Rhinolophus ferrumequinum: one gene and its partner. The protein of the gene in region 1 binds, or shares a complex with, the protein of each later gene. Links are inferred from orthologs where the notes say so. Each region holds a gene or a part of one and is shown in the gene's direction. Other genes may lie near its edges.

The links. Proteins that work in one complex are often made in the same cells at the same time.
Region 2: NME5 (region 1) and DYDC1 share a complex: the UniProt entries of both Homo sapiens proteins name them as parts of the axonemal radial spoke complex. The link is inferred for Rhinolophus ferrumequinum from reciprocal best matches to the Homo sapiens genes NME5 and DYDC1.

What each region holds. Positions count from the first base shown.
Region 1 is NC_046307.1:13,295,232-13,303,383, reverse strand, and holds the start of NME5 (nucleoside diphosphate kinase homolog 5), read left to right. Parts: upstream 1-5,035; 5' UTR 5,036-5,092; intron 5,093-5,099; exon of another isoform or gene 5,100-5,539; intron 5,540-5,680; 5' UTR 5,681-5,724; coding exon 5,725-5,853; intron 5,854-8,152. Other genes in the region: bromodomain-containing protein 8-like, read left to right, coding at 1,296-1,385, 1,484-1,552, 3,572-3,749, 4,294-4,344. UniProt on the Homo sapiens protein: Functions as part of axonemal radial spoke complexes that play an important part in the motility of sperm and cilia. Does not seem to have nucleoside diphosphate kinase (NDPK) activity.
Region 2 is NC_046299.1:56,289,186-56,297,057, reverse strand, and holds the start of DYDC1 (DPY30 domain-containing protein 1), read left to right. Parts: upstream 1-4,462; 5' UTR 4,463-4,845; intron 4,846-7,872. UniProt on the Homo sapiens protein: Functions as part of axonemal radial spoke complexes that play an important part in the motility of sperm and cilia. Plays a crucial role during acrosome biogenesis.

The sequences.
Region 1 (8,152 bases):
TGTCCAGGCCCCTCTTTTCTGGCTCCCCTTAGTTTGTACTGATTCTTTAGCACTAAAGGGAAGTAGAGCCTTTGGAGTATCACTCCCACTCTGCAGGTCCTTTCCACTCCCACACTTTTACTTGTAGTTGCTTGGCATGCATTTCCACGTGGGTGGAAATGAAGGTAAGCAAGGGATTCTTTCTTAAATGGAAACTTATTAAATATCTGTTGCGTGGATGTGTGAATTAAATTGCACCAGTACCAAGGAGTTATTGTTCATTCTGGTTGACTAATCAGAAATGAAGAGGTTTTGGGGGGCGCTTTAAGTTTCTTGTTCTGATAGGGTTCTGTGTTGAAGGAAAAGTTGATCTTTGTGGTATATAATTTAGATGCAGGTGAGATATTGCATGGTGAAAATGAATAGTTATGTGGAGCTGCTCAAATTGCAGAAAGATAAAATGATATGTGAGTTATGCTCAGATCGATATGCACAATATGGTACATAAAGCAAAATGAGGATGTGAAACCTTAGGTGTGAAGAGAACTCATTTAGAAAAAATAGTACAGTGGATAAAGTGGGAAGTGTAACCTCATGTTTAACTTTGAAGTAAATAGAAAACTTGCCAACTGGGAAAATTACAAAATGAAATAAAATATTGAACAATTGCATGTCTGAAGAAAAACGAACTAAATTCGACAGTTTAGCCCAGAGAAGGAAGTGCCATGAAGATAAATGACTTAGGTGTTTTAAAGATTACTATACAGAGGAGAACGAAAAGGAAAAATATTTAATTGTGTGGCATTCAGATGAAACGTAAGAGAATTCCTTGGAATCTGTAATCAAATATTTCCTTCTCTGGAAATATGGGTGAGAGAGATACTTATTAATGTGGCATATTTCTGCATAAAACAGGACCAGATTCATTTATCAAAAACTTAATTGAGCTTCTACTATGTGCCAGGCAGTTGGGAAACATCAGTGAACAAAGACTACTTTCATAGACCAGTTCTTTAGAGTCACAGGTGCTGAAGAGCAAAATCAGCAAGAGATCAAAAGGCCCAGGCAATTGTAGATTTGTAATACATTTTATAAAAGGTAACCACTTCATTGGGTTATAGTGATCAGTAAGAGAACACTTATAGAGTTTGGGGTCCCTTATGGAAGCATTAAATATCTTCATATTCTTACGGTATTACATTTCCTTCAGATGTTAATTAGGAGCAGTGTGTCTTGAGAAAGCCTCATGTCCACCTGGGGGAGGCAGAATGCCCTTTGCGAAGTTACTGTTTCTTTTCTGTCGTGTTATCCCATAGGTCTGATTTAAGCCAGAGCGATCCTGTTCAGGATCACTTGCTATTTAAGAAGACTGTCCTGTCAGTCTGGAAGATGATTGCCAGTCACAGGTAGGTCTCCAAGCCATTCTTCGTGTTCACAGCCACTCTTCTTATTCAGAGTGACTTTCCAGGGTTTCTTCTTACATTCTGGGTTTGTCCCCTAACAGGTTCAGTGGTCCATTTCTGAAGCCTGTGTCAGAAAGGCAGGCCCCAGGATACAAGGATGTGGTGAAAAGGTCAGTGGAAAAGGGGTCAAGAAAGGCTTCTTGCTTTTATATCTGTCTTTTTGTACTTTATTTCCCATATATTAGATTATTTCTTATTTCATTTACATTACTTACAAACTCAAGATGTATTTTACAGCTGAACAAGTTTGCAAAGTTATGGTGTGTTCAGTCTGCTTTTGAGAAGGAATGCAGGGAACACAAGGATAATGCAGGCTCTTTTTTTCCCAGTGTTGATTTTTAAGTAATGTGATCCATTATAATCTTAGCCTTTGGTAGTTTTTGACACTGTTTTTTGGAGCAAAACTTTAAAAGGAACGCTGTATTCATTCTGGTCGTTATAGGTACTCATATGCTAAGGCAAAGATGATAATCCAAATGATGTGACCAACATTGGTTGATTGCAGTATTTTTTATTTTTATAGCATATTTCATCTAAAATACTGTCACAAACCAGTGTGTTACTGTATAAAAGGTCAGGAAAAGACGTTTGGAGACAGACTTGTTCTATAGACGAGGAAACTAAAGCTCAGAGGTGATGATGACTTGTCTGTGATAACAGTGCCTAGCAGAGCTGGAACTGACCCCCAGATTCTTACCTCCCCATTCAGTTCTCTTTCTACACTGCTGTGCCTTCCCTTATATACCCACTGTCTGGGTCTCATTAATAATTTGTCTTGGAGTGGCTAGGTAGCTCAGTTAGTTAGAGCGTGGTGCTGGTTGCACCGAGGTTGCTGGTTCGATCCCTGCATGGGTCACTGTGAGTTGTGCCCTCCTTGAAAAAAAATAAAAGAAATTGCCTGCTACTTAGGAAAAAACTAAGGGCTGGCCCGGTGGCTCAGGCGGTTAGAGCTCCATGCTCCTAACGCCGAAGGCTGCCGGTTCGATTCCCACATGGGCCAGTGGGCTCTCAACCACAAGGTTGCCAGTTCAATTCCTCGATTCCCGCAAGGGATGGTGGGCAGCGCCCCCTGCAACTAAGATTGAACATGGCACCTTGAGCTGAGCTGCCTCCCGGATGGCTCAGTTGGAGCGCATCCTCTCAACCACAAGGTTGGCAGTTTGATTCCTCAACTTCCGCAAGGAATGGTGGTCAGCGCCCCCTGCAACTAAAATTGAACACAGCACCTTGAGCTGTGAGCTGCTGCTGAGCTCCCAGATGGCTCAGTTGGTTGGAGCTCTTCCTCTCAACCACAAAGTTGCCGGTTCGACTCCCCCAAGGGATGGTGGGCTGTGCCCCCTGCAACTAGAAACGGCAACTGGACCTGGGGCTGAGCTGCGCCCTCCACAACTAAGTCTGAAAGGACAACAACTTGAAGCTGAACGGCACCCTCCACAACTAAGATTGAAAGGACAACAACTGGATTTGGAAAAAAGTCCTGGAAGTACACACTGTTCCCCAATAAAGTCCTGTTCCCCTTCCCCAATAAAATCTTAAAAAAAAAAATTGTCTTAATATTTGCTTGATTCTCACTCTTCATCTCCATGAAAGGAGAAAAAACTTATTAGCTTTTGATTATGCAATAAGAGAAGTATGTTAATGCCTAGTATATGGCTATACATTGTAAACAGTTGTTAACTACCATATGACAAACTGATCGTTGGAGTTCTTTACAAATTTAGTACCTGGGGTCACCACTACTCCTGCAGTAGTAGAATGCAATGGCTGGGCCTGTGGATTTTGGAGTCAGGCTGCCTTTGAATTGGAATCCAAGCTGTGTGACCTTGAGCAAGTACTTACCCTCTTTAGATCTCGGTTCCCTCACTGCCAATTGGTGATAATAATGGTACCTGTTTTATGGGTTAATTGGGAGGTTTATGGGAGTTAATATAGAAAGTTACCTAACATAGTGCTTGGCCTATTGTAAGTAGTAGCAGTCCAATGATATTTTTTTAAAAAAGCTGTTGCTTTTTATATTAACTGTTGGGGATTGTTTTCATTAAGAGCTAGTTCTCCAAGACAGCATATTAGGTTACCACATGTTCTACATGAAGGTTTGATTTCCTCTGGTTTCTCTTGGCCACCTGTAGACCCATGGACTTAACGACCCTGAAAAGGAATCTGTCTAAGGGACGGATTCGCACCATGGCACAGTTCCAGCGGGACCTGATGCTGATGTTCCAAAATGCTGTGATGTACAATGACTCTGATCATCATGTGTACCATATGGCTGTGGAGATGCAGCGAGAAGTCTTGGAGCAGATTCAGGTACTGTATGTAGAGAGTTGCCTGAAAAAGGAGTGTAATCTCTGGAACCTGATTTAGAAAGTGAGAATAAGGGTGATGTTGAAGTGTTTCCAGATTTTATATTTAGAGGTGATTCAAGGCCCTGAAGGACTGACCTTGTACGTACTGGTTTGGAAAACCTGGAGCCTCAGTAGGACCAGCCTTAATAGTGAAGCAAAGTAGTCTAGGAAGGCAGGCAGCTGAAGAGCTCTGAAGAGGGCTGTAATGGTAATGGGAGCTCCTGCTTCCAGAGCCTCAAGCCAGAGTGCTAAACATGCAAACCAGAGGCTGGAGTCACTGTCCATTTTTTGGTTGCTACACCTGTTGATATTAATGTATGTTCACACTGTCCCATCGATACGGGGATAAGACACAGTAATCAGAAAACATCTGAAGGTTTCTTTTCTGGGTAGCATCATATTTTTAAGGAAAAAACGTAGTCAGATCTCATTGCAGAAAAATAAAATTGCATTCAAACCTCTGTAGCTTTTAAGCCTCATAGTTTGCTTCTGCCTTGACCCTATAGGTGCTGAGTACTTGGTTAGTCAAAAGAAGAGACTTAAATAGTCCAGAATGAGAATCAGCCAACCCAGTGCGTGATGGAAAACCTGTTTGGTTAACCTGGAGCTGCTACCCTGACCCTTTCTGAAATTTGGACCTCTCATTGAGACTCTGACCCAGAGAAGGTCCCAGCACTTGTCTATCATTTCCCTGTTGTCTTTTCTAATAATAAGGCCTTAACTCACAACCAAAGGTACCTGTGGACAAAATATAAGGGAAAAGGGGCAAGCTGTGATTTGGGGTTATACCATAAATGTTGCCCGTATCTTGTTCCATAGGCTTAATTTAGAGGTAACTAGTTTAAACCGCTTATTACTGCTCTATAAATAAATGTTATACCACAAGTTGAAGACTGCTTTTTAATGATTACAGAAGCTGGGAATAGAGGGGATAGCATCATCTGGTGAAATGAAGCTATTTGACGTGGGTTTTCTTACATTGTCTGGAAAGTGATGGGGTGGGGTGAGGAGGGGGTGATTATGATTTGTCTCATCGTTTATAAAATGGAGATAATTGAAGCAGCCTTAAAATGAGTAGGAGGGTGAAATAGGATGAATTATGAGGAAAATGTAAGAAAACGCCTAGTGCTCTAAGATTCTTAAGGGGGATAAAACTACCTGTGGCTGGCTCCCTTTCATGATTGAACCGGTAAGAGGCTGTGAAGTGACGCTGCTCGGATTGGCCCTCTGCAGCCACCGTCCCTCAGCTGGGCTTCGGGTCTCCTAGCAATAAGTTGTGGTCGCACCTGAGGAGTGAGTGCTGAGGTGAGTACACGACGGAAGGTCGGACTCGGAATCTGCGGGTGCAGCCGGGAGAAGTCCGGGGACTTAGGGATGCTACTTTCCAACCAGACCTGACCCTATGCATAGCCGTCCCGGCGAGGCGGGGCGGGGTGGGGCGAGGCTGCTCAACCTGCAGCTGGAGAATCGCGGAGAGTTGCCAACCGGTCTCCAGCTGCTGCCTTAGTCTGCGCGAGTCCCAGGCCTTTGGATTGCCCTGTGGCCTCTCCACCTTGATGAAAATGTTTAGGAAAGCCTAAGGCACGGCTTAACTGCAGAGTAGAAATCGTATTACAGTCATACCTCATTTTATTGCGCTTTAGGCGATTCACAGGTATTGGGTGTTTTACAAACTGAAGGCAAGACTCTCCACCATCAAATAGAGAACGACTCGCTTTACTGCGATCGAAGACAACCTGCAATGTCTTCGAGGTATGCCTGTGTTCAGACACTGCTTATAGAAAAAGATTGCAGTTTCTAAGTTTATATAAATTAATAAAATCAGGCGCCTAACAATGCTGTTCTTAATCATAATTACATTAAATTTGAGGTTGGGATTGCATATCATTGCAGTTGATACCTGTCAAGACTCTTAAATTATATCCTGAAAACCCACAATGGAGCTGTCGATGCCCCCACCTCAGATATACGTAGAAAAATCTCTGGCCATTATCAAACCAGATATTGTTGACAAAGAGGAGGAGATACAAGATATTATTCTCAGATCTGGATTCACCATTGTTCAGGTAACTTCTGGGCATGATCATTGTGTTCTTTTCTCTCATTGATCCTTTTTTTTAATGTTTATGTATTAGCATTAATTTAGCATTAAATTTAGGTTTATTCTAACTATAAAAGTTACATGTGATAGTATTTAAGTTTTGTCACACTTCAAAAGTATATAAAATGCAAAGTAAAATTCCTTTTCCCTCCACCTGTCCTCACCCACGCCACATCCCAGTCTCCAGAGAGAGGCAACGACTTAATACTTTCTGTTCTTCCAGGATTTTTCTATGTATTCCCAGACATTTTCCCCCATAAAATAGGACAGTGCCCCACCTTTGATCCTGTTTACAAAGTCCCTCAGATAGCAATTTCAGATTATTACATCTGAATGTAACTCATTCTTCCTAAGTTTTGTTTCATATACCCCTGTGTGGATGAATCACAATTTGTTTATTTGGTCCTCTATGGATGGACTTTAAGACTTTTGGATTTTTTTCCTTTATTACAAACATTTAATGTTTTAAGCCTTACACTTGCTCTGCAGTTGTTAGAGGTTTGAAAATGAATGTAAAAAGAATAAAGATTATCAAATAGAATTGAGTATATTTAATCTTCCTTTTTTGTACCATCCTTATTTGAAATTTCAGTTTTTAGTCTCTTATGTAATATTACTTATTTAATCAGTGTTTTAAAAAATAAAAAAGAGAAAACTTCAATCTTTAGGAAAGATGGGATTTTAGTTGAATTTAGGATAGGTGGAGGCTGAGGGTAAGGATGGTACAAGAAAATGTAAGGAAAGATGTACAGGAAATTATAAGAAAATATTTAATATAGTAATTAAAAGACCCAGGTAAAAATGAACTTTTTAATGAATGTTGTTAGGAAAACTAGGTAGCCATTAAAAAAAAAGTTGTATTCAAGTATGATACTGTATACACCGGGATAAACTTCAAATGGATTGGAATTTTAAATATTAAAAAATTAAACCATACAAATTCTAGAAGAAAAGATGGATGAGTTTCTTTACTCTTGGAATGGACAGCCATTTTTTATTATGACTTAGTCTAGGAAATATGAAAGAAAAGATTAATAAGATTATAAATTTAAAAAAGTTCTGCATGGCCAAATAAAAACTATAAGCAAAGTCAAAATACAAATGACAAACTTAGAAAAAAGATTTGCAATTCATATTGCAGACAGAGGGCTAATCTCCCTAATATATAAAGAACTCGAAAAAGATAAAAATTCAGTTGAAAATGGGCAGAACATACGGAGGATCAGAGAAAAAGAAAACAGATGCTTCTTGAAAATATGAAAAGATTCTCAATAAGTGGGGGAAAAAACAAATTAAAGTGACACTGAGCTACTACAGTATATGGCAAAAATGTAAAAGTGAATGGCACAACCCCCATAGAAGGGAACCTGACAATTATTTATCAATATTACAGATGTATTTATTTACCCTTAGACCCAGCAGTCCTACTTCTGGGAATTCCACCCATAATCTGTGTATTAATATCAAGTGACATATATACAGGTTACTTTTTGCAGCATTGTTTATTTACCAGCAAAAGATTGAAAACAGTCCAGTATTAGCAGAATGGTTAAATCAACTCTGGCAAAGACACCAAGTTGAATACTATGCAACTAACTGTAAAAAGAATAAGGAACCTTTTGGTGCCCTGTTATGGAAAAACAAATGTAATGTGTAGCAATCTTTTGTGATAGAAAGAAAAAAAGTAATATATATTCATGTTTGCTAATATTTGCAAAATGAAACACTAGGATAAATAAGCATTAAAAAATGGTTGCCTATTGAGAGCAAGAACAGTACATTAGGACAGGGAGGGGAATGAGATTTTTCAGCACATATCTTTTTATATTGCTTTGAACTTTTTAACCCTATAAGTGTATTATTCCTTAATTTTAGAAAAAAATTAAATGAAGTATATGAATAAGATAAAGATATACTATTTATGTTTTTTAAAAGTCCATATTTTAAAAAGAATTAGTGACAAACAAACTTAATTAAGTGGTAGTGTTAATCATAAATGAAAAATTAATATAAATGCTAATATTTTGCATTTTACCTAGTGAGCAATGAATTTCAGACCAAGAAGCCCTTGCTGTATTGTGTGCTTTTTTTTGGTTTTAATTGTGGCAAAATACATGCAGCTTAACCATTTGAACCATTTTTAGTTGTAGAGTTCAGTGGAACTAAGTACATTCCCATAGTTGTGAAACCATCACCACCATCCATTTCTAGAACTTTTACATCATCTCAGATTGAAACTCTGTACCCATTAAACACTATCTCTC
Region 2 (7,872 bases), on another chromosome or scaffold:
CCATTTAATTAGCTGTGTGATCTTCAGCAAGTCACCAGCTCCTGTGAGCCTTGGTTTTCTCATCTGGAGAACAGAAGAACGAAAGTATGTGCCTCGTAATTATGAGGATTAAAGGAAATAATAAATGCATCTAAAGCACTTAGCCTGGCATATAGTAAGTGCTTAATAAATATTAGCTATTACAGTGGAATATTGTGATATGAAATGCCCTAAAATCTGGCCTATTCCTCACCAACCCCATGTTCCTGAAGTTTACATATCTTACCTCCAAAAGAGCTAATGATAAAGTGACTAATTAAGTCTCAGATCCAATCTGTAAGGGTGAAATTTAGGGAATCAATAATGTAGTTAAACTTAGCTAGTTTGCAGTTTAACTTACCGCATAGCTCACTATCCAGCCACCTGTAATTACACTTACTTTGTTTGCAGTTTGATCCATCCTGATATTCAGCTGTTTTCTCCTTGTTTCTCCCCTCACTGATTAGCTGAAGAACTCTGATTGTTCCCTTTCTCAAGGCTACCCATACCTCCTTAATCCATTTAATCAACAGAATCCCAACCTGGAAAGGGCAATTTCTTAATCCTCAGGTGCCCGGACACCGGAATCCAATTGACAACTCCCTCGCAGTTTTTACTGGTGACGCATTCAAGTCCCAGGCCTCGATGGCCGCGTCCCAGTCCGGAGATAACATTGTCTTCAAACAGACCAGACCCCAGGAAGGATGTCAGCCCTCGAACCTGCCTAACCGACTTCCCCTTTCCTATATAAGAAAAAGCTAACCTGAAGTTAGGAGCAGCTGCCCACTCTCAGATTCTAGACTCTGCCCCATGACACACACCCCACCTCCACCGCCACCACGCTGGTGTTTCTCTTCTGACAACCTGTGGCAGCAATCATTTTTGGACACTGCCATGGGCATTCTCTCTGTGCCCTAACTTCAATAAAAACTTCCTTTGTAGTAGAGTCTGTGAATGCTTTCACGTTTTGTGAATGCCCAGGGGTTAATTACACGCCACGACACAATCAACATTTTCCGGAGGCATTTTTCAGTTTAAAGAAGGAAAGCTAGATAGATAGATGATTGATAGATAGATATGAGTATAGAAAAATATATATATTTCCTAGCTCTTCCCATCGCAAAGTCCTAGAAGCAAAAACACCTCAGTAAGCAGCAAGCACACTAAGCATTCAGAACTTCTCCTTAAATAGCTGTCACCACTTAAAAGAGAAATCAGGACTCCTTGGAGTAAAATAAGAATTCATGAATCCACATAAGAATAAATAATTTCGTAATGTGATATACAGTAAGTTCTTTCTTAAAGTAGAATGCCAACTAATAAATGTGGAAAGAATAATGGAGTTTTTTTTTAAAAAATCACCATACTGTAACCACCATAGTATAACTGAATCAAGCCAGAATTATCTGTGAAGACTAAAACTCAGACAACATTTGACAAGGGATAGGATATTTATATAATCTCGAAGTTTCTCCCCTACAAATTATGTATTACTTTCCAAGGGAAATACAGAAACTTTACAGTGATAGAACCTGGTCACCACAACTTTAACCAGAGGATCAAAGTAAACATCCCCAATAAGGGGCAAAGTGACATAGTGTGTCTCCTGATGTGATACACTTCTTAGTGGGACATAATACACTTCTGTGGATTCCTGCCCCCAATGCAAAACTTGAATCTGATTGAGGAAACATCAAATAAAGTCAAATTGAGAGACAGTATACAACTGACCTGTACTCTTAAAAATGCCAAGGTCATGAAAGACAAGAGGAGGAGCCATTCCAGATTAAAGGAGCCTAAATAGGCATGCAATACATGATCCTTGATTGGATCTGGACCAGGAAAAAAAAAGAAAATTCCATAATGGACAGTGTTAGGAAAATTGGATAAACTGAACATGAATTGTAGACCACATAATAGAATTAAATCAAAGTCAAATTTCCTGGTTTTGGTAATTGAAATATGAGTAAGAAAATGTCCTTCATTTAAGGAAATACACAGTATAACAGGGATGAAAAATGGCTCACAAAAGTGTCTAAGTCCTAATACCTGGAACTTGTAATGTATGTTACCCTATATGGAAGGACTTCGCAGATGTGATTCAATTAAGAATTTTGATTTAGGGAGATTATCTGAATTATCCAGGCAGGCCCAATGTAATGACAAGGGTCTTTATAAGAGGGACACAGTAAGATCAGACAGAGAAGGAGATGTGATGACAGAACAGAGGGAGAAAAGGTGATGTGATTCGGAGCCATGAGCCAAGGAATGTAGGTAGCCTCTAGAAGCTGGAAAAGGCGAGGAAATGGATTCTCCTCTAGAGCTTCTAGAAGGAACGAGCCCTGCCAATACTTGGTTTTAGCGCTGTAAGACTCATTTTAGATTTCTGACTTCAAAAACTTTAAAAGAATAAACGTGTACTTGAAGTCACTAAGTTTGGGGTATAGGGATTCAGAATGAGTCACCCCAAGATGTGCCTCTATGGCACGCAGATTGTTTTGAGCTGAAGGCAACCTGTGGGCTCAAGAGAAACTTCTGCCCTTCCCACTTAACTACCTAGAACTTGAATTAGGGGCCTTGCCCATAATAAGAGATTATCAGAGATAACATTTTTTGACCAATCGGTAGGGCAGGGAAAACTTCTAATTACTGAAAATCTCTTCATCTGTCTCATCTCTAATTGATTATTAGACCAGCTGAAAAAACCCTGAGCGTAGAGGAAAGTTTCCTCCTCTCCCACAGGGATAGTGGTGAAGTTGGAGACAGGGGTATATGTTGTCTCTTTCTGCTAATCTGTGGTCCACCTGAACCAATGCACTTGGATAAACTACCTTCTACATCCCCTGGGGGCTTGCATCACCTGGGGGCTTGCTGAAATGCAGATTTTCAAGGTCCATACCAGGCCTAATGATTCAGTCTACAGTTTAACAAAATCCCCAGGTGATTCGAAGTCACAAGTCTACTTTGCCTTTATCATTGTAGAACTGCCCTTCCCAGAGAGTCGAATTATCAATTTTGCATTCCCAGGAAGCCTCTCTACTTCCAGTCCTTGGGTGGCTGTCACCCTTTCTGGAGGAAGCATCTGCTCCAAATTGCACATTTTCAACAATGGTCTCAATGAAATATGTTGATCTGACAGTTACTAAGACTTGATGCAAAGACAGCAGAGCCACAATAACAGTGCCACAATGTAAGGCCTGGAGAGGGAGGGGGCAAAGGGGACTTTTACAGCCCACTCCCGACCAACTCCGGGCACACTCACCAAGCGGGAGGGGGCTATATTTTGGAGTCTCCCAGAGCTCTTCAGAGGGTCTGAAGGGTCCCCTTGCCCATGGCCTTGCACACAGTAGGCAGAGCAATAAGCATGGAGAGTATCTTTGTTCACACTCTATTCCCAGTGCTAGGCACACAGTGTGTGCTCAGTAAATACTTCTTCATCTGCCAGGGCTCTGATGCTTGTGAGCCCACCCAGACAAGCTGTCATGCAGGGTGTCAGGCGGAGTCTCTGGTCCTGCTCCCCACATAAGAACACAGGAAATGGTGAGGCCAAAAAGGAACACCCACAGAGCCATAGATAGGGGAGTCATACCATTATATTCTCGCTGGTGGCTGGGTTGGAGACACAGGAAACAGGATCCACACGACCTGCAACCTGCTGTCCGCTTCTCTGTCAACCAACCAACCCCACTTGCTAGCTGCACTCCACCGTGCTAACTGCAATCCACTCTGACTAGCTCAGCCACCATCCTCTTGCTAGCCTCCATTTGCTGCTAGCGTAGCCACAGCAGTTATATTAGTGGCCAATGGCTCACTGGTTACAGCTGACGGCCAACTAGCCACAGCTGATGGCCATCCAATCGCAGTTGATGGCCATTTGCTAGCTGAGCCAGCACCTTTCCACGTGACGCGGAGAGCCTGGAAACTGCACTCCTGGCTCTGTCCCCACACAAGCTCATGGTCCCTTCAGTCAGTGCCCACTCTGGCACTTCCAGCGTTCAGTGAGGCATCTCCCGTCCAGTACTGCCTGCCCGGCACGTGAATTAAAACAGAACACTCCCGGGATATACTAGCAGAGTATTGGGCACAAGACCAGGCCAGGGAAAACTGCAATGGCTCTGACCTGGCAGAGGTTGGATGGCTTCCCGGAGGTGAGGGCACCTGAGCTGGTTCTAAAAGCCACCAAGCAGAAGTTACCAGCAAGTGCAAAGGTGTGAAGTCGTGAAAATACCGGGCCACAGAACTTGCAGTGATTGTCTCCGCTGGCCCCGGGGGGTTGTGGAGGGGTCTCCCCCCATTCACAGACAGAGCCCTTTGCGTCTCCTCTCCGCGACCCCGCCGCCCGCTTATCTCTCCCAGGGAGCGCGCGCCCACCTGTCCCGCTCCACTCCTGTTTTCAAGGCCCCTCCTTATAGCCTCATAGTTGCAAGTCTCTACTCACCTATCCTGGCACCCACTCGTATCCGCCGCGCGTTCTCGCCCTCGCTCCCGCGCTCCTCAGCTCACCCGCGCTCGAGCCCCCTCCTCTCTGCTGCGCGTCCCCCACGTCCCGACCCTCCACTCTCAGGTCACCAGCCCGTGCTCGCGTTTGTCTTTGCCGAGCGCCTCATTCCCACCCCAGGCAAGCGCGCTCGCTGCCTAGCGACGGGACACGACTCGCCGGTTGAGGGTAGGCGCGTGCGCCAGGCGTGCGTGTGACAGCGCAGGCGCCCTTTGGGAGACCGGGTCTTAGGGGTTGGCTGGGGTCTGGCTGCGCAGGCGGTTTGGGCCGTGGGACCTTGGCGTGGTGTAGGGCGCAGGCGGTGCCCAGGCTCCCCGAGCCCAGCGAGGGTTAGTTCAGCGCCGGGGGCTCCGCAGGCGCGTCTGGGGCGGTCTCCCTCCTCCTCCGCGGTGGGCGGCGTGCAGGGCGGCGAGCAGGGCGGCGAGCAGGGCGGCGTGCAGGGCGGCGAGCAGGGCGGCGAGCAGGGCGGCGTGCAGGGCGGCGTGCAGGGCGGCGAGCAGGGAGGCGTGGAGGGCGGCGTGGAGGGCGGCGAGCAGGGCGGCGTGGAGGGCGGCGTGCAGGGCGGCGTGCAGGGCGGCGTGCAGGGCGGCGTGCAGGGCGGCGTGGAGGGCGGCGTGCAGGGCGGCGAGCAGGGCGGCGTGGAGGGCGGCGTGCAGGGCGGCGAGCAGGGCGGCGTGGAGGGCGGCGTGCAGGGCGGCGTGCAGGGCGGCGAGCAGGGCGGCGTGCAGGGCGGCGTGCAGGGCGGCGAGCAGGGCGGCGTGCAGGGCGGCGTGCAGGGCGGCGAGCAGGGCGGCGTGCAGGGCGGCGTGCAGGGCGGCGAGCAGGGCGGCGTGCAGGGCGGCGTGCAGGGCGGCGTGCACCCGTCGGCCGACCGCGGGTGGGAAAGGGAACCCAAGCGCCCGCCCCGAATGGAGGATTGCCACATAAAATACGGGACGCCCAGTTAAATTTGCATTTCAGAGAAATAAGGCATAAGTTTGTAGTATAAGTATAGTATAATACAAAGTCGTTAGTTGTTTATCTGAAATTCAAATTTAACTGGGCATACTGTATTTTTATTTGCTGAATTTGGCCGCCTTGTCTGGATCGCCACCACTTCCCTACTACGCTGGCTGGCTTTCTCCCAGGCATGGGTGAGGGACCTCTCTCTGTTTCTTGTAACAACTTATCCATGCTTGAGGCAGTTGTTTCTGTGGGAAGGGGGGCTTTCTTAAATGAAAAAAAAAAAAAAAACATTGCTTACAACACCTTCGTGAGATGGGTATTATCACCATTTCATGGACAGGAAACATGCCAACCGAGGTAATGAGCCCTCTACTGGGTCCCCCTGATAATACCATGCAGGGTCCATAGATCTGAGACGAACCCTGGGTGAGGCCCTACCGTCAGGCCAGAGGTTTTCCTCTTAGGGACCACGGTCCTCTTCCCATGCATTATCTTTCTGGAGGAGCAACAGGAGCAATAAGATAGCCTTTTTTATCTTACATTGACAGATATCAATGTAGGTATTTTTGTCGTTAGAGTATATCCCATTGAAGAAATACAGTGAAGATATTGTGTTCCAACCACAGTTGTAATAATTCTTTTCTCTGTGTGGTTAAGACAACAACTCCAGCTTGTTAGGGAATCAGGTTTGTTTTTTCCAGTTTTTAGAGTTTTGGTTTTTATGATTCCATTTATCTATACACACATACGAGGTTGGGCAATTAAATTCTCGAACTTGTTGCAATGATGTTGCTAAACTAACCTTTTTTGATATCGGAGGGATTATTCATTATGAATTTGTACCAACTGGACAAACGGTTAACCAAGTTTACAATTTGGAAGTGCTGAAAAGGCTGCATGAAAAAGACGAAAACGACCTGAACTTTTCTCCAACAATACTTGCATCACGACAATGTACCACCTCACACGGAACTGTCTGTGAGGGAGCTTTCAGCCAGTAAACAAATAACTGTATTGGAACACCCTCCCTACTCACCTGATCTGGCCCCCAGTGACTTCTTTCTTTACCCAAAGATAAAGGAAATATTGAAAGGAAGACATTTTGATGACATTCACGACATCAAGGGTAATAGGACAACAGCTCTGATGGCCATTCCAGAAAAACAGTTCCAAAATTGCTTTGAAGGGTGATCTAGGCTCTAGTGTCAGTGCATAGCTTTCCAAGGGGAGTACTTCGAAGGTGACCGTAGTGATATTCAGCAATGAGAGCACTTTTTCTAGGATGAGTTTGTGAACTTAATTGTCCGACTTCGTACATACATATTCCTTTCCCCACTGCTGTTGCTAGTACAAAGGATGGCATACTATATACAGTTTTTGCACCTTGCTTTTTTCCCCCTTCATACTATGTCCTAGAGATCACTCTTTACTTTTAGAGATCTTCCTCATTCTCTTTTATATCTTCACAGTTATCCATTGTGTTGCTGTACCTCATCAATCCCTTCATGATGAACATTTGGGTGGTATTTCAGTATGGCTACTTCAGATTTTTGCAAGAAGGGATCCTAGAAGTGAGACTGATGGGTCAAAATTGATGTCATTTTCTAGGTATTGTGTAATTCCTCTCCATAGAGATTATACCATTTTGTACTCTTCACCACCATAGCATGAGAGAGAGCAGTATTGGGGTCTACAGGTGAATCTCATGAGGTCATTTTTTAAAAATTGAAGCATAGTTGGGATACGATATTATAATTTCAGGTGTATGATGTAGTGACTCAACATTTATATACCTTATAATGTGATCACCACACTAAGTCTAGTACTCATTTGTCACCGTACAAAGTTATCACAGTATTATTGACTATGTTTCCTTTCACCTTTTTCACCCATCCCCCCACTCCCCTCCCTTCTGGCAACCATCAGTTTGATCTCTTTATGAGTCTGTTTTCGTTTTGTTTTGTTTGTAGATTCCACATATAAATAAAACCATATGGTTTTTGTCTTTCTATCTGACTTTTTTCAACTTATCATAATACCCTCTAGTCATTGTGTTTAAAATTTTCAGCAGAATGTTAGGTGCGTTTGTCCAGGGAGAGGTCTAGATTCACACTGACATTCTACCCCCTATAATTGCTCATACCTGACATGCTAGGTACTCACTGTGCATATACTGTACTCAGTATATATATCCAGAGGAGTCTAGATTCCGTAAGGGTGATTTGAGGATGATCAGTTTTTCCAAAGCATCTGAGATACAGTGGTTGATTCATTTCATTCTTTAAAAAAAAAAAGTCTGGTGTAAGGTTATTGCAGATTTTTGCAAGAAGGTCCATCTTCATAACTAACAGGCTGGCACATTACTGAGAGAGCGAAGAAATTCATTCACTTGCCATGATGGAAACCCAGCT